Astyanax mexicanus: one gene and its partners. The protein of the gene in region 3 interacts with the protein of the main gene of each other region in a biochemical or structural test. Links are inferred from orthologs where the notes say so. Each region holds a gene or a part of one and is shown on either strand. Other genes may lie near its edges. The genes, in order: zfyve9a, erbin and smad2.

Region 1 (7,791 bases), on a different chromosome or scaffold from region 3:
ATTCTGCCATCAGTACATACACCTAAATACAGTCTTAATCAAAACATATATTTTGATACCTACAGTATATAGCCATTTTTATTTGTCCATGCATCTGTATTTCAATATATCCATCCTTCCATCCATGTATCCATTGATATATCCAACCAACCATCAGTATACTTTTCTACACAATTCCATCCATAAATACATTGATTTACCCAACAGTACATCCACCTATACTGTATATTGGTCAATATATTTACTAATATTTCTATCCAGACATGAATGTACTCATCAATACATGTATACATCCATAAATATATCCACCCACAGGCTTTTTAAGCAAGGATTATTAGTATTAAACACAGCAATCTCATATTACGGTATTAAACAGTGTTGTTGTGGATTTTTACTGAGATTATGTTTGCATGTTTATTTTATGATAACTCACTGATGTAACTATTGCTTTGGGCCTAGTTTACATCTTATCTGTTTGATTTAACTGATTGCAGTAATTTTAACGGCACGTAAATAGCTTAGAGGTGGTGATCTTTGTCACCTAGCGTTAGCATGCTGAAGAACACATCAATAATTGAGTATTGTTTAAATTATTAATCAAACAACACTTTATTCCTTCTTTTTTTTGTGTGTCTCAAAATGTGCCCAAATTCAACAGGTTACCTCAACACATTTCCTCGATAAATAGCAGCATTTTTAAACATTTAAAGGGCAACGTTCTGGACATTTGAAAGGCATTTGAATCCCTTGTTCAGCTGTTTCTATCGATTTGAAGCGAAGACAGAGAAAGCTAGAAACAGGAACCATACCCAGAGCAAGCAGAAATAATCGTTAACTAATCGGAAAAAATAATCGCCAGATAAGTAGACGAACAAAATATTCAATAGTTGCAGCCATCTACCAAATTGATCATTAGTTGCAGCCCTAATTCAGTGTGTGATTACTGTAGTACTACTACAGTGCATGCGAATATACAATATTGATTACTGTACAATACGTATACTAAAATTAAAATATCAAACCTAATAAAAAGATATAACAGTTGAGCTCCATATTCCACAAGATGGATGGCATCCAACTTCAAAATAATTCAGAATAACATGGTATTATCATGGATCGAAGCATGGAAACCAGTTAATAAACATCTGTAACCTTAGCGGACACTTAAAAGTAGTTCTATTTAGCAAAACAGTACTGGGGACACTCAAACAGTTTACACTCAACATGTCTCCAAAAGGGCCCAAATTCAACAGAATACACATTTCCTCAATAAATAGCAGCACTTTCCACATTTAAAGTGTATTTAAATCCCTTGTTCAGCTGTTTCTAGCGATTTGAAGCGAAGACAGAGGAAGCTATAAACCGAAGCCATTCCCAGAGGAAGCAGAAATAATCTACAAATCGACTAATCAGGAAAATAATAGTCAAATCAGTCAACTACCAAAATTATCATTAGTTGCAGCCCTAATTGCAGCCACGTATTCAGCAGTGTGTGATTACTGTAGTACTACTACAGTGTATTCAAATATACATTATTGGTTACCGTACTCTAAAATTTAAATGTCAAACCTAAGAGATAAAACTATGTAAGAAGTAACAATTGAGCTCCATATTCCACAGCATGGATGGCACCCAACTTCAAAATAGCATGGCATTATCATGGATGACAGCATGGAAACCAGTTAATAAACATTTGTAGCCATAGTAGACACTTAAAAGTAGTTCTATTCAGTAAAACAGTACTGGGTAAATCAAACAGTTTACACTCAACTCTGTCTACGTCTCCAAAAGGGCCCAAATTCAACAGAATACACATTTCCTCAATAAATAGCAGCACTTTCCACATTTAAAGAGCAACGTTTTGGACAATTTAAGGGAATTTAAATCCCATTTCAGCTGTTTCTAGAGATAAAACGAGAACAAGAAATAACAGTTGAGCTCCATATTCCACAGCAGGGATGACATCCAACTTCAAAATAACAAACAACACAATCATCAGATTAGCTGTCTAACAAATTAATCATGAGTTGCAGCCCTTATTCAGGGTGTGATTACTGTAGTACTACTACAGTGTATGCAAACAATACATAATTGATTACTGGTATACTATTTTTTTAAACGTCAAACCTAAAAGATAAAACTATGTAACAGTTGAGCTCCATATTCCACAGCATGGATAGCATCCAACTTCAAAATAGCATGGTATTATCATGGATCAAAACCTGGAAACCAGATAATAAACATTTACAGCCTTAGTAAACACTTACAATTAGTTCTACGCAGTAAAATAAAGCATTTTAAAGGGTTTAAAAAGGTTTTAAAAGGGTTTAACCTCTAGATAACAGTGTTGCACCACAGCATTAGCCAGTTATAGCCTAGCTTAGAGCTAGAGTAAATAAACTTTGGCTGGAGCTTGACCTCTTCCTGAGCGTTTTCTACAGCTGATCACATAAAAACAGGCTGTTTTAAAGGGTTTGGAGCTTGTGTGGTATGTTAATAAGGATGTAAAATGTTTAAAAATGTGGATTTAAAGCGAATTATTCCAGCTAATGATCCGGATTGTTGAGAAATCCAGCAGTAAAGCAGGGTGAGAGCCTGTGTTGTTCTGCTGCAGCCTCTCTTTCTCTGTGTAAAATGACACCGTGAAGGTGATCCGGGGATTAAAATTAATCAAATCGATTGATCATCTATCGGAAAACGATCGATTATCAGTGTGCCAGGCTGCCTGGCTCTCTAACTAACTCACCGCAGCTGCAGTGGCCATCCTCAGTCACTCACAGCGCAGCGCAGCCATGCAGCAGCTCCAGCTCCTCCTCCAGCTCCGGCTCCTTCAGCGGGGCGATCCAGCCGCTGTGGCCGCTCTGAGCTCACCCTGCGGCGGCTGAGCTGCGTGGACGCTCCGCGGGTCTCCGGTTCTCCGCTGCAGGCCCACGGGCTGTAAAGATGGCCTCTAAACTAGAGCGGGGAGCGCGAGGCAGCGCTGCTACAGCGCGGCATCAGAAAGGGGCGGGGCCTGGAGTAATTACTCACTGCTTTGTAGGTTGTAAGCCGAGGAGTGACGCATTTGGCTCCGCCCGTGGGCGGGGTTGTGGGCGTGGGGTTGAAAAGGAGGCGGTGCTTACAAATATTGGCAATGTTTGAAAGTATTTTTTTATTCTGGAATAATAATAAGTTATTATATATTCATTTTATTATTTCGTTCAAAAAGTTATGTAACGTATAACTGACAGACTGGTTTACAGTCAACAACCTTCACCTGAATGTGGACAAGACAAAGGAAATGGTTGTTGACTTCAGGAGAGCACAACACACCCACTCTCCACTCAACATCGACGGGTCCTCTGTGGAGATTGTTAAGAGCACCAAGTTCCTTGGTGTCCACTTAGCAGATAACCTCACCTGGACCCTGAACACCAGCTCTACAGCCAAGAAAGCCCAGCAGCGTCTCTACTTCCTCCGGAAGCTGAGAAAGGCCCGTCTCCCTCCACCCATCCTCACACTCTTCTATAGAGGGACCATTGAGAGCATCCTGAGCAGCTGCATCACTGCCTGGTTTGGGACCTGCACCGTCTCTGACCGCAAGACCCTCCAGCGTATTGTGAGGACAGCTGAGAGGATCATCGGCGTCTCTCTCCCCTCCATCACGGACATTTACACCACCCGCAGCATCCGCAAAGCAACCAGCATTGTGAATGACCCCACCCATCCCTCACACGAACTGTTCTCCCTCCTGCCTTCGGGAAGAAGGTACCGCAGCATCCGGTCCAGCACGACCAGATTCTGCAACAGCTTCTACCCCCAAGCCATCAGACTCCTTAACTGCAAAGACTGAACTGATGGTTTTTCTGTACATGCACACACACACTCTTACCCCACTTACCCCAGAAAATGGAAAGCACTAAAAACCCTACTACCTCACTGGACTCTATTGCACACTGTGTAATAGAGGTAATTACTACCTCACCTGGTCTTTTTTGCACACTGCATAATTTGCACACTGTCTTGTTATTTATTATTCTTTGTCTGTATGGTGTTGTATTGTCTGTCTGCACTTTTGTACTGTTGCACTATTGTTCTGTCTACACTGTGTTTATGTGCACCATGGTCCCTGGAGGAACGTTGTTTCGTTTCACTGTGTACTCTTTATATAGCTGAAATGACAATAAAAACCACTTTGACTTTGACTTTGACTTTGAGAACTTAAAATATAATTATTAATTGATATCAGAAAACAAAATACAGAAAATATGCAGAAAAAAAGGACATACAGGATACTAAATCAGTCAAAAGTTGGCACACACACCTTAAATTCAGTGTTTTTTCATCATTTTTCATCATTTTGAAATGTTCTGTACTGTAGATAGATTAATACTAAACTCATCCAAACTATGAACAAAAACATGTTAAAGAACTGAAGGTATCCTCCATTTCAGTCACCACAAAGACCATCAAAAACATTATGATGATGAAACTGGCTCTCATCAGGACTGCCCCAAGAAAACAAGAGAGCAAGAATTTCCTTTGTTGCACAGAATAGGTTCATCAAAGTTACCAGCCCTATATTCGAGACCACAGCCTTTGAAGGTAATTTTTATCCTGAAATATTAATAAGTTACTAAGTATTACATTTTTTTTTCAAAAAGTTATGTAACGTATAACAACATAGAATATAATCATTAATCATTATACCAGAAAGGAGAAATATGCAGAATCAAAATACACACAGAATTCATACACACTGTAAATTCAGTGTTTTCACATCATTTTAAAATGTTCTGCATTGTAGATTAATACTAAAGTCATCCAAACTATGAAGAAAAACATATGAGGGTCAGGCAGTCTGAAAAATGTCAAGAACTGAAAGTACAAAGTGCAGTCGCAAAGACCACCAGAAACCTTATGATGAAACTGGCACTTATCAAGAGCAAGAGTTCCCTCTGTTGCACAGAATAAGTTTATCAGAGTTACCAGTCCTATATTCAATACCACAGCCTTTGGAGGTAATTTTATTCTAGAATATTAATTAGTTATTTGTGAAGTCTGGAGCTGCATTGTAAACTAAACAGTAACGCCCACTGAATAAATATGGATGACAGGGATACAATTAATTAAATGACACCAGAAATGAGAAATTACACAGAACAAAATGAAGTATACTCAAAAAATTTTTTTTACCATTTTAAAACTTGTTTATATAAAAATTAACTTTATTTTAAAATCACAATACTCTATTCACAGTATACGCCACATTTGGATCTGTATAAAAAGCAATAGAATACATGTTGTTTGATGAAAAGTTAAAAGTAGTATTGGTTTTCTTTCTATAGAACAATTTAAAACATCTAACCTCTAGAAAAATACTTTTATGCCATAATATTTGGTACATTTTTGGGTAAAAACAATTAGTTTATTTTAGGAAGATGTCGAAATTTTAGTAGGTTGTAGAAATAATGGAGGCCACATTTTTCGAATCTTTGATATTTATTTTTTTAATTACATAAATATTATTAGCAGTCAGATATTATTGTGCTCTTCACATTAACAAAGAATCATAAAAATCCCTCATTTTAAACCCAGATGTCAGATTTAATGATCTATACATCATGTTCAACCTGTTTTTTTTTTACATTTTAAAACGTATAATTAACTTTATATTAAAATAACCAAACTGTATATACAGTATACTGCACATTTGGATCTGCATATAAAAACTAGTAGAATCCATTGCACAACTTATTAGTAAAGATTTAAAAGTAGTATTGGTTTTCCTTCTTATAGAACAATTAAAAACATCTAAACTCTAGAAAATTATTTAATCTCTACATTTTTGTCTTTTACCTGAAACATTTGATAAAATTAGTTTATTTTAAGAAAGTGTTGAAATGTTTATTAGTTTATAGAAATGATGGAGGCCATATGAGCATTTTAGTTATCTTTTTTTTTTTTTTACATTTTTATATTTATTTTTGTATTTACATACATTTTATTTACAGTCAGATATTATTGTGCCTTTTACATAAAAAAAAATCATAAAAAATCCCTAATTTTAAATCCAGACGGCAGATCTAATGATCTATAAATCATAATCGCCAAGACGTGGTGCATAATATGAGCTACAGATCAGCGGATCTGCGCAGTGGGTCACGAGCCCAGAGTCACGCGCCGGGGTCACGCGCTGTTCATATAAAAGCGCGGGAATTCAGTTCTGAGGTCAAACTGTCAGCTAAGTTTGCTAATTTTATACCGCAGTTTTCACAGCACTTAACTATGGCTTTTCTAGGAAAGAAAGCTAGATAACTGAAGATATTTCGCTTTAATAAATCGTAAAGTTAGCATAAAGCATATTTTATAACTCCTGAAATATACTTTTTATTTTATTTATTTTATTTAAGGTAAACAAATGTCATTGACTAGTTAGCTAGCTAGCTTTTTTAAGTTATAGGCTTTAGATATGTTAGAAACCTACATATCTGCATTTTCCATGTAAAACTTTTGTGATTTTGCCAGAAATATATTAACCAAATAGTAGTCAAAAAGCCCTGCAATCCCATATTAGAGGTGGGCGATATGGCCCTAAAATAATAAATAATATGACAATATTTTATGTTTTTTTGTAATGACTATACTCTTGGCGATATGTCAAAATACTAAATAAAAAATTATTTCAAGAATACACTACTGCAACAAAATGAAAATTAAATTTTATTATTGTATACGATATGATATGGCACACCCCTAACCGAGATATTAACAAATACAAGATTTTTATCAGATTTGTAACAGAAGTCAATAAGGCTTGACAGAATGTCATGATTCTAATAATAATACACTCCAAATATCTCCATATATCCAGGATTAAAGTAAAATAAATGATACTGCACAGATATAATCTGTCTCTAGTAGATATATAATGGGAAATAAGAACAGTGTGAATTTTTCTTTTGATAAAAACAGTAAAAAAAAAAAAAAGTAGAACCCTGATGTGATAATTAGGGATGCGTGATATGGTATGATATTTCAGGGTATAATATCGTTCACGATATTCAAAAATGTTGGTGATATTATTCCTTACGATATGACACACCCCTAATAGATATGTATATACGTAAAAACCTATTAACTAGATAATGGAAACTGTCATGTATATATCTTTTTTAGAAATGCAGCAGCAATAATAAAGATTTATGATCTTTTATTAATAAAAAAAATCTATTTTAACAGTGAAGAAACACATGTAACATTTATTTGCCTTATATTTTAAATTTATACAACACAAAAAAGTTAAGGGTGCTCCTGACAATTTAGATTTTTTGTTTGTTTGATTCACATTTGTTTAGGTAACTGGTTCTTACATAAACTGTTCTTAAACCTTTTTTTAATTAACATGTAGCTTAAATCAATTGAATTGAAAGTGAGGCAGCCGGTGTCGCTTAATCCTTTATTGACATACAAAAAATATGTAATTAAATATGAGTTTGAAATATCGGCCAAATCTAAGAAATTATATTTTAATGATGTTTCCAAAAAAAAAGCAATTACTGTCCGATACCGATATATCGTGGTGAATCCCTAAGATAAATAGATGATACATTCTTAATTTATCACACTTGTAATTGTAAATTGCAAATTATATATGTAAATTATTTCTGTCTACTGGTTTGAAGTTTGGCGTTGTGAATTGAGATGATTTAGAATTTAAAATCCTAAGTTTTTTATATAAATGCACATTATTTTTTTCAAAGTTGCCCAATAAGCCCTAATAGTCATAACTCGAAACCTTGAAACTTTGTT
Region 2 (8,109 bases), about 690 kb from region 3:
ATTAGTTGCACACACTAAAAGGTCTAAACAGGGTGCCGTGTCTACTCTGTCTACTCTCCCAAATCGTGTGGATACAGTTTTGTTTCCAGAGTTTAGCTACGCAATCAAAGCTCAAGCTGAGGAGGCTGGGATGCTAATCGTATTATACTGTGCAGAGGAAACCCAAAACCACAGTAAGATGAACAAACATGATCTCTTAATATAGTACAGATGATATACACATATACAGCTCTGGAAAAAAATAAAGAGACAACGTCAGTTTCTGAACCAGTTTATCGGATTTTGCTATTTATAGGTGTATGTTTGAGTAAAATGAACATTGTTGTAAAGAAATGAAAAGAAAACAAGTTAATATCCATAAAGTTTTAAGACTTCAGAAATAATCATCAATTTAGTGAAATAACTCTGGTTTTCATGCTTCTTGGCATGTTCTCCTCCACCAGTCTGACACACTGCTTTTTTTTTGATAACTTTATGCCACTCCTGGTGCAAAAATTCAAGCAGTATATAGTAACAAGTGTTTGCTTGTTATATTATTTGAAAAAAAAAAAAAAAAAAAAAAAAAAAAAACAGAACATATTAAATCCCAACAGAATATGCCTAGATCTATCAAATTCAAAAACAGACAATTATTATATTTGGGAATATCCAAAGATATCTCAATAGTAAACAATAGTTTAAAATTCAGAATCAGACAAAAACATGTGAAACAGAGCAAAGCAGATCAGAATCAAGTAGCAACAAAGCAGCGGTAACACCTACTAGATTTTACCAAACAAAATATTTAAATTGATAAACAGAATCCTGCTGAAACGGAATTCTAAAACGACTGAATACATTACATCAGAACTCACGCAACAGAATTAGAGAACAGAAATTATCACAACAGATCTTTTATCAAACTCATTACAAGAGAAAGCATTCAAATTCTAGCATCCAAAAATACATAAACTGAACTGAACTAAATGCTGAGCGACTGACAGATTAAATTGGTTTAATCTGTCAGGTAATATCCATTCACTTTCAATCAGAAGCCAGGAGCATGCAGCACTGAGCCAGCAAATAACCCACATAATGAGAATACTAACAATAAAACGACTAACAAAAAAATTAGCTTTTTTATATAAATAATGATAGCAATTCATGTGTGTCTACAAAAAAATCTATAACAAATAATGAATCTCTCAAGCCAGAAAAGACATTAACCAAAGAATGTTACATAAATGTTGTTTAAAGGTTGTTTTTCTCAACATGAACAAACGTTTATTCAATGTTTACTGCTATCAGGGCAGATAGCTAGTCGTTAGCAGGGTTAGTTCAGATTCACCTGTTCAGACAGACACAAAGCAAGCACGGTGTCCAGCAGTTTATCACCAGGCTGGGGTTTGTTTACCTGATTATACACTTAATTCAATTCCTTTAATCCTCCCAGCCTACATACAGCTACAGTGTAGTAAACTCTAAAACTCACTCTAAAGCTCACTGGTGTCACTAAACCATTTTAAACTTTGTTTATAACCACCTTCAGACAGTCTTTAACTGTTTTAGTTTCCTTTTTTCCCCTTTTATTGATTTAGTCTTTTTATTCGTCTAAATTTCTGTTTTACCTTTTAGCCTTTTTATTTATTTTTCTTTCACATATTTTATTAATTTCGTCCTTTTATGAATTATGTTTTCCTTGTTGTCCTTTACATTTGTATTTATTTTATTATTATTTCTTTTTTATGTATATATTTTATTATTCCTTTATTCTGAATATATATATTTTTATTTCTTCTAAATAAAAATCTTATAATGTTTGTTTGCTTGTTTTTCTAATGCTTTTACTACATAATTTATTTTGTTTTATGTTAATTTTATTATTTTACCTCACGAGGTAAAATACTTGCTTTTAATTTTAATTTAAACTTTTATTTTCAGTCCTTTTTAAGTTATTGGGGATTCATTAAAAATGAGGGTTACCCTCAATGTTTTTTGTTTTGTTCAAATTACCAAGTGAAAATAAAGGTTGATTGATGTACAGTTATGTTAGCTAAATAACTGCTTTTGTTTCTAGTGAATTTAGTTACTTAGGCATTAATAAGTCCATTAAAACAAAATCATTTTTTTCCTATCTTCTAAAGCAGAACCTTAATTTTATTTCTTGGAAGTGAATTCTCCAGTCCACCTTAAATACTGCAGCGGTTGCGGTGTGGAGCCGGAGCACGCAGCCAAGCGCTCTGACTGAAACCGCTGCAGTTTTTAAGGTGGACCGGCGAATTCGACTTCAACTTCAAGCTCGTCGCGATTTGGGCTGGCAGGCTAACAAACAAGGAAGCAGCCGCCAGCAGCTGAAGGACGAAGTGAAACAGACAGTAAAAACATGTCGAGTTCTTACCTTATTTATCCAGCAGCTCTCCGTAATCCTCCGGGTTCGTTTAATTAGAAGAAAAGCGAATACTTTAAATCCACATGAGCTGTTCACACAAAGGCATCGCGCGGTTCACACGGGCTGGCTGTTAAGGAGGGTTAGCTAGCTAGCTAACTAGCAGGCATGCTAAGCTAACTAGCGTTAGCCTGCTTAACGCTATACACTCTGTGTTAGTCAATCAGGAACAGAGCACCACCTCTCTAAAGTTCACCGCTCAAGTTTTCCTCCCAAACTCGAGCACAAACACAAAACACAGCCCCCAGACCACCTTAATCTCCCCGGTCAGAGTGTTCTCAGATCCGCAGAACTCCAGCAGAGCTCGCTCAGAGCGCGGAGCTCCAGAAAACGGGCTGAAACCGCGTCCACACAGCGCACAGCAGCACAACAACCGGAGCCATGTACCAGAGGAGAAGCGAGAGAAAAATACTCCACAGCGGTTTATATAGAGATCACAGCGCGCCGCACCCACACACACAGCCGGCTAACTCTCCTCACAACCTCCCACTGCTTCCCTCTGAAGAGCGTGGGACATAAACACGGGTCCAGCGGTGAAGCAGAAGTGGCTGCACACCCTGAAGAAGCGGCGGGTGGACGCGGACACGGGGAGCTCAGAGCGAGGACTCAGTGTAAAGTGATGCAGCGCAGAGAGGGAGAGAGAGGGGCTGAAAACAGGCAGCAGCGGCGGCGCTGAGCGGGGAAACTGTGAGATGCAGCGCCATCTGCTGGCCGCTGCCTAAACCTAACCACAACCCACCAAAAGCGGTGGAGAAACAGAAATGAGCTCGTGACGTCGTTCCGTGGTCGAACTCAATTATGCCCATATAAGGAGCTCCGGCTGTAAACAGGTTTTCTCTAAGGCCAAAAAATCAAGTCTCCTCCTGGATTTAAGTAAGTAAATGATGTGGGGTTGATGCTGCAGTTGGTCTGCAGGTCTAGGTTCAGCAACAGTATGTGCATAAAGAATAAAGTCAACTGACTACCTGAATATACTGAATATAGACCAGGTTATTCCAACAACAGATTTTCTTCCCGAATTGTGAAAGAGTTCAGGGTTCAGGAAGCATGAGATCATCATTTTCACACATGGATTATTCACCACAGAGTCCACATCTTAACCTCATTGAGAATCTTTGGGATGTGCTGGAGAAGAAGATGCTTTGTGCAGAGGTCAGACTCTACCATCATTAATGCTGCTGCAAGATCTTGGTAAAAAATTAATGCAACACTGGATTGATATAAATGCAGAAGCTTATTGAATCAATGCCGCAATCAAAGCTAAAAGCGATACAACGAAATATCAGAGTGTTTTGGTGTTTTGTGTTTTTTTGGTGGTGATTTTTGGGTCAGGCAGTGTAAATAAATGTATGTTTTTTTTTGAATGGCACTGCTGATCTGTGGGAAGTTTTCTAACTTTTAGAAAATTTGGCATTGCTTGTTGCAAACTAAGTTTTTCACCCAGTTTAACATTACATCACAAAACTTATTTTATATACAATACAAATTAATTTTACTTGATTTTCTATTTTTTTCGTGTAAATTATATATTATAAAATTGAAAACTTAATAATTTTTTTCCTGAAATTCAGACCCTGCAGGTCCATTCTTTATCAAATACTAATTTGTGTATACTGCTGTATTTGGTTAATTTTATTTCCTTGAATTCTTATTTCACACAGAGTCATTAACACAGTATTAGTAGAAAACAGTAAAATGCACAGTAACATAACCTTCTTTTCTCCTTCTCTGGAGCAGTATCTGGATATAGTGAAAGGAGTGCAGATTTAAAATCTATAGTGATTTTAGTGTTAGGTCTCCCTCTAGTGATCGAAATAAACACGACTATCACTGTTTTCTGCTTGTGAGCCTTCATAAGCCTCCACCGATCCTTTAAACAGCGATTCTGAGCTACAGCTAAATACATGAGTATTAATATAATCTAAATAATAATCAACACCTGAGAAGCAGTTTTTCTCTATAGCTTTTTTCTCTATAGTTTTTACGCACGGCGCGCGTTTTTACGCACGGAATGCGCATTTACGCACGGCGCGCGTTTTTACGCACCGAATGCGCTTTTACGCACGGCGCGCGTTTTTACGCATGGAATGCGCTTCTCCGCACCATGCCTGATTTTAAGTCTGGTGATAAATGCTTTGTAAATCTGTAACGTGTAAATGCATAGATATACGCATTGATATACAGCTCTGGTAAAAAAAAAAAAAAGAAAACACATAAAAGTGACGGGTTTTTACCAAATTGAAAATCTCTGGAATATAATCAAGAGGAAGATGGATGATCACAAGCCATCAAACCAAACTGAACTGCTTAAATTTTTTAACTAGAAGTGACAGTGTGTAAGACTGGTGGAGGAGAACATGCCAAGATGCATGAAAACTGTGATGAAAAACCAGGGCTATTCCACCATATATTGATTTCTGAACTCTTAAAACTTTATGAATATTAACTTGTTTTCTTTGCATTATTTAAGGTCTGAAAGCTCTGCATCTTTTTTTTTTAGTTCAGCCATTTCTCGTTTTCTGTAAATAAATGCTCTAAAATGACGATATTTTTATTTGGAATTTAGTATTTTTTTGTATTTTTAAAAAATAAAACAATGTTAGTTGTACAAAATTAGAGAAACTGAAGTGCTCTCTTAAGGTTTTTTTCAGAGCTGTGTACTCCCCCGCAACAATCAACACTCCTGAAACTCTGCTCTTTTGATCCGGACCGTGCTTCATGCCCTCTTTCACACCTGCTAGTTTGGTTTGGACCCAGAATTGAGGAGTCTGAAAGTCCGGACAAGGCATGTGTGTTTTACAGTTTTTTATAGAAAATCTAGCCGTGCTTTTACAGGGGAAAGATTACAGAAACAGAGGGGGGTGGAAACGTTAGAAAGGATGGAGAGAAGGAGAGTAGAAACTGCCTCGGGGTTTCTCGGTTTAACCAGCTGTAGCGTCCCTTAGTCTGGCTGTTTAACTTTCTCAGCCTTTTAATATTCCTTAATATATTTATGTTCCTATTTGAGTAAACTAGACAAGATTGAACATTTTTTAAAGAAAAGCTGCAGCAGTGTAGAAGTGAGTGTGGGTCATACCTTCTCATCATTGTTAGTTTTTAATGTGGGTAATGGCTCCTCTCGTTACTTCATTTGGAAGAGGATCTCTGCTGTTTGAAAGCAGATGATTGGTCGCCACCAGGCGGCCACCATAGACTATTAAACTTTAAATTGTGGAGTTGGCATCTTGCTACACAAAATATTAACATACTAACCCGTTTTTATAAGAACAGTAAAAGATGAAGCATTGAGCATTTTTTATTTTATTTAATTTTTATTCATTTATTTTTTTCAATAGATTAACTCAAAAGAACAAAAAAGGACACTTGGAGATGCCCAAAGGGACACTTGGAGATGCCCAAAGGGACACTTGGAGATGCCCAAAAAAACTCTTGGAGATGCTCAAAAGGACACTTGGAGATGCCCAAAGGGACACTTGTAGAGGCCAAAAAAAAGACAATGGAGATGCCCAAAAGGACACTTGGAGATACCAAAAAAGACAATGGAGATGCCCAAAAGGACACTTGCAGATGCCCAAAGTGACACTTAGATATGCCCAAACTGACTCTTGGAGATGCCCAAATTGAACACTTGGAGATGCCCAAAAGGACACTTGGAGATGCCCAAACTGACTCTTGGAGATGCCCAAAAGGACACTTGGAGATGCCCAAAAGGACACTTGGAGATGCTCAAAAGGACACTTGGAGTTGTCCAAAGTGACACTTGGAGATGCCCTAAGTGACACTTGGAGATGCCCAAAAGGACACTTGGAGATGCCTAAAAGGACACTTGGAGATGCCCTAAGTGACACTTGGAGATGCCCAAAGTGACACTTGGAGATGCCCAAAAGGACACTTGGAGATGCCCAAAGTGACACTTGGAGATGCCCAAAGTGACACTTGGAGATGTCCAAAGTGACAATGGATATGCCCTAAGTGACACTTGGAGATGTCCAAAACGACACTTGGAGATGCCCAAAGTGACACTTGGAGATGCCCAAAGTGACACTTGGAGATGCCCAAAGTGACACTTGGAGATTCCCAAAAAGACACTTGGAGATGCCCAAAGTGACACTTGGAGATGCCCAAAAGGACACTTGGAGATGCCCAAAAGGACACTTGGAGATGTCCAAAGTGACACTTGGAGATGCCAAAAAGGACACCTGGAGATGCTCAAAAGGTCACTTTGAAATGCCCAATGTCCTTTTTGGAGACGCCCAAAAGGACACTTGGAGATGCCCAAAGTAACACTTGGAGATGCCCAAAGTGACACTTGGAGATGCCCAAAGTGACACTTGGAGATGCCCAAAAGGACACTTGGAGATGCCCAAAGGGATACTTGGAGATGCCCAAATTGAACACTTGGAGATGCCCAAAAGGACACTTGCAGATGCCAAAAAAAGACAATGGAGATGCCCAAAAGGACACTTGGAGATGCCAAAGTGACACTTGGAGATGCCCAAAAGGACACTTGGAGATGCCCAAAAGGACACTTGCAGATGCCCAAAATGACACTTGGAGATGCCCAAAAGGACACTTGCAGATGCCCAAAATGACACTTGGAGATGCCCAAGGTGACACTTGGAGATGCCCAAAGTGACACTTGGAGATGCCCAAAAGGACACTTGGAGATGCCCAAAGTGACACTTGGAGATGCCCAAAAGGACACTTGGAGATGCCCAAAAAGACAATGGAGATGCCCAAAGTGACACTTGGAGATGTCCAAAGTGACACTTGGAGATGCCCAAAGTGACACTTGGAGATGTCCAAAGTGACACTTGGAGATGTCCAAAGTGACACTTGGAAATGCGCAAAAGGACACTTGGAGATCCCAAAAAGACAATGGAGATGCCCAAAGTGACACTTGGAGATGCCCAAAAGGACACTTGGAGATGCCCAAAAGGACACTTGGAGATGCCCAAAGTGACACTTGGAGATGCCCAAAAAGACAATGGAGATGCCCAAAAGGACCCTTGGAGATGCCCAAAGTGACACTTGGAGATGTCCAAAGTGACACTTGGAGATGCCAAAAAGGACACTTGGAGATGCTCAAAAGGACACTTGGAAATGCCCAACATCCTTTTGGAGATGCCCAAAATAAACACTTGGAGATGGCCAAAAGGACACTTGGAGATGCCCAAAATAAACACTTGGAGATGGCCAAAAGGACACTTGGAGATGCCCAAATTGAACACTTAGAAATGCCCAAAAGGACACTTGGAGATACCCAAAGGGACACTTAGAGATGCCCAAAAAGACAATGGAGATGCCCAAATTGACATCCTTTTAGAGATGCCCAAATGGACACTTCGAGATGCCCAAAAGGTCACTTGGAGATGCCCAAAATAAACACTTGGAGATGTCCGAAAAGACATTTAGAGATCCACAGACACTTGGAGATCCTCAAGTTACATGATCAAGTAATTTATTAATGATACAAAAGATTATTTGAACACAAATTGAACAATCTCTACAGATGTTTAATATACAAACTCTCTGAAGTTGTAAGAACAACAAATTCTGCAGTCTCTAAAACATATAAATATGCGTACATATAAATAACAGATTGTGGTACATTTAGAAAGATGAAAAAACAGCTATTTTCCCATTAATACTGTAATGAGCAGTTAATTCAACAGTTCCGTCCG
Region 3 (6,955 bases):
CAGTATTAAATGCCTCTAGAGTTTCAGGACTAAAGTCCATGGAGCTGATGAGTTCTTGGAGAGCCTGATCGCTAATTAATCTCTTTACACAGCTCATTTGGTGAGTAGAGAGTGTGAGAAAGAGTGTGGTTAAATGACTAACCGTTCTGTTATAACTCTTACTGTATGGGTTTGTGGGTATGAACACAACTGTGCCAAATTTAAGCATGATGGAGACTGAAGATATATGAAGATAAAAGCACCACACTAGATAGCAGCTGGATGCTTATGGCAAGATGTAGCAGGAACAAACTCTTTATTATAGACTAGTTAAAGAAATGTTTTGGCTTTTTTCTTTACAGTAGTCTGAAAGTGTCTGAATTACACATTAAATTTATTATTTTTCTGCACTTTCTATCTGTGTGTAGATTTTTGTTAAAAGTTAGCATTCTAACACCACCTGAAGTACTGAAACTGTCGACTGCACTATGTTGACAGAAGCATACTGTTAGTTGCTAGGTTCTCTCTCTTCTGCATAACATCCAGATATGCTCATTTCCTTTGTATCAACAACCAATTGTTAAAGAAAAAAGGGGGAGTTTCTTGATAGAAAGACACAAATACAAGTGCAGAGCTCTCCACTTCAGAAGCACCTTTTTACAGCGATGATGGGTGTTAAGAGTATTTTCTAATCTATGCAACAACAAAAAAAATCGGATATGTTAATACATTTAAACAAGAACTGAATTCAGCCAGACTGTATCCACTGTTCAGATTTCTGCTTTTAAAATGCATGCAAATGTTTATCCACATATTAAGCTAACTAGATAGTGCCTCATTTTTTAAACATAAAATTAATAAACGAAAACGTGACACAAGAAAAGAAATAGTATTTAACTGGGGCAGTTCAATTGTTTATAATTAGGGATTTAGGGGCAGATTTTGGTTAGTGCATCCCTGTTTATTTAATTTACAATATTTGCTGTGGTGTCTTGTCATAAAGGTCAGTGTAACTTTTATCAGTTAAATTTTGAGAGTTTGAGGCCAAATTTGATAAATATTGGATATAAAAATGTATATACTTTTAATTGTTTATTATTATTTCTGCATTTCACAAACAGAATTTTAGGAAAAATGAAATCTTCTCAATATTCTGATTTCAATTTTTGCATCAAAAACATCATGGTATAATAAAACTTACTTTTGTTACAACTGTGTTCTGACAGTTGCAGAAACGATATAAAACACATTATTCTAAAAAAAAAGTAATGCAGTGGTGCTTCAAAATGTTCTATTTCAGCCTCAGTCAGAAAATATTAACTGAGGCCCTACAAGTAAACAGGGTAAAAAAATAAACAGGGATGCAGTGAACGAATAACATTTTTTATGAAACAAGAAAAAATTATATATATTTCTGCACTAAGTAAATAGACTAGATATGTGATTGATCCATATTAATTATTCGATCTTGAAGTTGGTAAGTCATTATACAGTTCTGGAAAAAGTAAGAAACCACTTCAGTTTCTGAATCAGTTTCTCTGATTTACCTATTTATACGTATATATGTTTGAGTAAAATAATCATTGTTTTATTCTATAAACTACAGACAACATTTCTCCCATATTCTAAATAAAAATAAGATGCAGTGCTTTCAGACTTCAAATAATGTTCAAACAAGTTCAAATTATAAAGTTCTAAAAGTATAGAAGTTAATACTTGGTGGAATTAGCCTGTTTTTTTTTCATCACAGTTTCATGTATCTCCGCTCCTCAACCTTACACACTGCTTTTGGATAACTTTATGCCACTCCTGGTGCAACAATTCAAGCAGTTCAGCTTGGTTTGATGGCTTGTGATCATCCATCTTCCTTTTGATCATTTTTAATTTGGTAAAATCAAAGAAACTCATACTTTTTAAGTGGTCTCATTCTTTTCCAGAGCTGTATATCTAAGATATGTTGAGTGCCTCGTTAGTAGAAATCTTGTTTGTTTTTGTTTTTTTTTTGCAGTAGTGTATTCCTGAAATATTTTTTTTTTTATTTCAGTGTTTTGGTATATCCCAATGAGTATCATGATGATATATGAGCCATATCACCCACCCCTACTATCATAACTAGTGTCAGTTATTAATTAGTAGTTAGTTTAGGCAAATACTTAAATGTGTATTAGTGTGTTTAGTAAATGCATAAGCATTATTAAATTAAATGTTAAATTAAATGTTTTTTTATTGAAATCAAGATTTAAACTACACCGATAAACCGGTCCACACGTTGCCAGCAGTCTATGAAAAAACACGTAGCTTAGGTTAGCTAACCTAACTTACTTAGCTAACGTTACCCATCCACAGAAAAACAGGCCAGGGCCTACAGAAGCTGCTCTTTACAAAGAGGAGATATTAATAAATGGTTTTTAAAGGCTTCTGTGTGCGTCCAGCACTTACCTCGGGCAGCAGGACTGATGGAAAATGTGGAGAGGAGATGTTGTTTTATGGCTGCATGAAAAGCCCCGTCCGAGCGAGCGAGTCCCGGGGCGAGAGGCTGAGGCTAGCGGCTACAAACGAGAACAAACCCAGAGTGTGAATGCAGATGGAGCCGGCCACGGTTACACAAAAACACAGCACTGTTCAAGCATCTTTTAGCAGTATCTGTAACCGCGGAGAGGTGATGGTGCTGGAGAGGTGGCGGTTTTAGTGATTAAGGAGGTGTGTGTATGTGTGTTCAGCTCAAAAAACCGCTAAGTTAAGCTCGGAGGCTTCGCCACTTTGTTTGACAGAAAAATAAACAGGTTAGAGACGTGTTCGCGGAGCAGCTCCTATTTTCACCTATTTTTACAGCAATAAAACTCACCTTCAGGATGAGCCGCCGGCTTTATGCACACCCCAAAAATGTGTACGGACCCTCCACACCAAAACCTGGCGTTTATCTCCGTCCTCCAGGCTCTAAAAATCGATTTAAACTGTATTTTTCTTTCTCTCTGTAGCCAAATTACAGCAGCAGACGACGGTGGCCTCTCTCATATGGACAACCGAACCTTAACGCACTCAACGCGATACAGGCCCGCCCTCAGTCCCGCCTCTAGTCCCGCCTTCGTGCTGCTATTGGTCAAAATCTCAGCCAACGCGCTTCTACTTAGAATACATTGGTCAGCATCTGCCGTCAGTATATCCAAATATTAATTATGCAAAGCGGCCCGCGTACCCCATTGGTCGTCCAGACTCGCCATTCCCTCGTTGACGTTTGGATTCCAGGCCGCAGGCTGTGGTTTGTCGACGCGGCCGTCCGTCTGTCCATCTGTTTGCTTCGTAACCGAAGCACAGAGAGAGAGAGATGCGCTGAGAGCCGAATCGCAAAGTGGGTTAGATACGGCTGCACAGCCCCATCAAAGCAAACAAGCAGCGTATCCCTCCGCCATTCAACAAAGGAGAAACAAATAGGGCCTCAAAATAGCTTTTCTTCTATGGAGATTATAATTAAATATTTGTTGTGTAGAATTTATACAACTTATTTCACTTTTGATAAACTTTATACAAATATTTACTAGCATCGTTAAAAAAATCTGAATTTTAAGATATTTTTTGTGTGTTTTAAAATTTTACACTTTACAACTACGGTCACAAACAATACCAACACTTACGACATTAAACATTAAATATTGTTAAATGGTTAATAATGACAAAATGTCTCAGCTAATTATTCATTGGAACTAGTTAAAACATTATTAAACTTTAATATTTTTAAATATTTTTAATTGATTATTATATTTTAACGTTTTCCATAAATAATTAGATGAGATATTCGGTCATATGTACTGTTTATTAATGAGTTACTACTTTAAAGCGTTACTAATTTATTAAAATCAAAATTGATTCACACGTTGACTAAAAAAAGTGACATATCTAAGCATTTAAATCCTTTTGTTGGACTTCAAATATTTAATTTATAGTTTAAAAAATCTGAAACCATATAACATTTATAACATTGTTTTTTGTGTGTTTTAAAATTGTGAGATGGTAAAATTTGCTGTTGAAAAAAAAGTACATTTAAAATATGTAAATATATATATTTATAAAATTATTAAATTAAGATAATATTAATAAGATATTACAATGGTAAAATAAAAAGTGAATAAAATAATAAGCCAAAGTATCAAAAAGGTTAAAAAGTTTTTTTTTATTTATATAAGAAGATTGTTATTTCACAGTGAAAGAGTTTAAATGGGCTGGAACTGTAATAACTCATTCCCAGCGTGTCCAGCAGACGGCGCTGCTGTAAGTTTGGTTTGGTGTGTGTTATGTATTATTGGTTGTCAAGAGCAGCTCAACACAGAGCCTGGCTGAACTGCACAGACATTTACCTACCTGGCTAATCCGGTTTTATTTAATAAGAGTTTTTTTTTTCAGCAATGGATTCATTAATTTGTTCTAGATGTAATATGACGTTCAGATCATCAAATTTTCTGGCAAAGCATCGGGAGAAGTTCTGTATTGGAAGTGTTGGTCAGAATGAAGAGTCTGATTTCCATCAAAACCTGGTAAAATTTCATGTTTCATGTTATATGTTTAAATGTGTATGCTATCCATATCTACTGTGGAACCAGATCTTTATTGTGTCTCACTGTGAAGCTAAAGTCTGATTGCATGGACAATGTTTGCCAGATGCTGCCAGTCCCATAACTTTTGGCATGTCAATACAGGATGACACACATTTTTACTGATGTCTGTATTAATTTATATTTTATATATTATAAGGGTTCTTTAGTAAAGGCACCAGAACCACTTATACAGAAAGAAATATGTAGAAGGGCAATTCCACCGAATAGGTGCAATTTGCTTGTTGTAACGCTTCCAAATTAAGCTTTTTATTTTTTTTTTCAACTCTGAATCTAATAACATATTTAACTATTTAAAACATGTACTGGTCAAACTCAGGCAGCTTTACTTATGTTTTTTGATTAAAGTGTTAAGGTTTCAAATCCGAAGATGGTTACAAAATTCATGTTACATTTAAAAAAACACTAGTCCACTAATTCCTTTGATTTTCTCCCAAGAAAGTCTTTTTTTTAAAGAAAGTCTTTTCATTTAAAAAAAAATGGTTGACTGCATGTTCAAATAATTATTATTTATGACAAAAAAACTCATTCCTGTTATTTTTATGTTTTTTGAGTACAACTGTGAAAGTCATAAAAGTAAACAAGAATGGTCTATGGTTTTTAGCATGGAATTAGCAAAAACATAAGACATAGCTAAGTTGCGGCTATGCTAATAGCATGAGGACACTAAGCACATTCTAGTGATTTTCCCAAAAGGAACTAATTCAGGTAACAGGAAGTGTTAAGATTGAGCTCCTCAGTCATAGTTACAATAAGATCAAATAAACAGAAAAACAAAAGAGGGAACTTACAGTAATTTTGGTCTGGATTTTGGTATGATTTTCAGAAGAACCAGCTGATGTCACTTCCTGTTGTAGAAGTGACTTGTAGAATGTTTTCAGATGTTTTAGATGGGGTAATGTGTTACGGTAACAGGACTGAGTGAAACCCAGTGACACAACTAAAATGTGTATTTTAACATAAACATTTTTATGGACGCCCATTTCCGCCACCTAAAATAAAATAAAAAATCCAGCACATTTTTTTCTTATTATTAAGTTAACTGCCATCTTATTTTTTGAGATAGTAAGTCATTTTTTGAGATACTATCTCATTATTTTTAAAAACTATTTCATTATTTTGAGATAATATCTCATTATTATGAGATAGTAAGTCATTATTTTGAGATAGTAAGTCATTATGTTGAGATACTGTCTCATTATTTTGAGATGCTAAGTCATTATTTTGGGATACAAAGTCATTATTTTGAGATAGTAAGTCATAATTATTTTAAAATATTTTTTCTGAAAGCAAACACACTTGCTATCTCAAAATCACTTAATATCTCAGACTAATGAGGTAGTATCTCAAAATAATGAAAAGTATCTTAAAATAATGACTTACTAGTTGGTCAAAATGGGCTTCCATAAACTTTTGACTTATTATGAACAAAACATTATTAAAATTATTAAAAAACAAAAAAAAATTTTAAACATAGATGGGATTTGAAGTCAAACAGCAATGCAAAAAAGAAATACATCTCTGAAGGATTTTAATAATTATATTTCATGGTAAAATGTATAGTTAGAGACTGGAGACAGGTAACAAATGCTATTTTTTTCAGTGTTTAAAGTCGTTTTTATTAATGTTTTTAATTACATATTTTACTTTTGCAATTACACCATTGTACAAGACACTATGCTTAATAATAAAATGTATTTTAAAGTTATTTCTGCACATTTATACATGTATTTCCTGAGGACAGAAAAGGCACCCATTTGGTGGAATTGCTCAAAAATACATAGTGTCCTATATGATATGAGGATATCTGAAGTACTTGTATTGTTTCATACTTCCACAGAATGAGAGGATAAGAGAATTGAGGAGGATACGGCAGCAGGACAGGCCTAATGCAAGAGCCCAACTCAGCCAGCAGAACATTCACACACCAGCTCAGAACCACATGCAAAAACCCAGCAGTGAACCAGTAAGAAACACATATAAACAGCCCCACAAATGTTTTATGACCTCTGCTTTTATTGGTTTTGCCTGAATTGCAGTAATTTTAGTTCATTTAGATAGAGATGAGAGTGTATGTGTGTGTGTGTGTGTGTGTGTGTGTGTGTGTGTGCATGGACAGACAGCAGGCAGGTCAGAAGATCAGCTCCTTCAGATCCAGCCAAAGATGGACAAGCAGAAGATGGTGAGATCTGCTGACAGCAAACATCTAAACCAGCACAGAGAAGGTAATCATGAGCTGACCCTTTTTGCACAATTACTCATGCATTAAATTAGTTTTTTTTATTCATAAATTAGCCATCTGAAGACCCACTGGTTGGTTGCAGAGATGGACCTGCAGGAACTGCCTGCTCAGAACAGGAAAGTGGCTC

The links.
Region 1: the proteins of smad2 (region 3) and zfyve9a are reported together in a solved structure, tested with the Homo sapiens proteins (2 studies listed by BioGRID and IntAct, with this or other methods). The link is inferred for Astyanax mexicanus from reciprocal best matches to the Homo sapiens genes SMAD2 and ZFYVE9.
Region 2: the proteins of smad2 (region 3) and erbin form a complex in vitro, tested with the Homo sapiens proteins (2 studies listed by BioGRID). The link is inferred for Astyanax mexicanus from reciprocal best matches to the Homo sapiens genes SMAD2 and ERBIN.

Annotation. Positions count from the first base shown.
Region 1 is NC_064411.1:57,255,132-57,262,922, forward strand, and holds the start of zfyve9a (zinc finger FYVE domain-containing protein 9), read right to left. Parts: upstream 3,006-7,791; 5' UTR 2,747-3,005; intron 2,721-2,746; exon of another isoform or gene 1-2,720. UniProt on the Homo sapiens protein: Early endosomal protein that functions to recruit SMAD2/SMAD3 to intracellular membranes and to the TGF-beta receptor.
Region 2 is NC_064427.1:22,909,947-22,918,055, reverse strand, and holds the start of erbin (erbin), read right to left. Parts: upstream 3,060-8,109; 5' UTR 2,378-3,059; intron 1-2,377. Other genes in the region: nln (neurolysin, mitochondrial), read right to left, coding at 8,094-8,109. UniProt on the Homo sapiens protein: Acts as an adapter for the receptor ERBB2, in epithelia. By binding the unphosphorylated 'Tyr-1248' of receptor ERBB2, it may contribute to stabilize this unphosphorylated state.
Region 3 is NC_064427.1:23,598,146-23,605,100, reverse strand, and holds the start of smad2 (mothers against decapentaplegic homolog 2), read right to left. Parts: upstream 3,007-6,955; 5' UTR 2,825-3,006; intron 2,529-2,824; 5' UTR 2,419-2,528; intron 1-2,418. Other genes in the region: coiled-coil domain-containing protein 17, read left to right, coding at 4,380-4,508, 6,427-6,552, 6,706-6,811, 6,911-6,955. UniProt on the Homo sapiens protein: Receptor-regulated SMAD (R-SMAD) that is an intracellular signal transducer and transcriptional modulator activated by TGF-beta (transforming growth factor) and activin type 1 receptor kinases.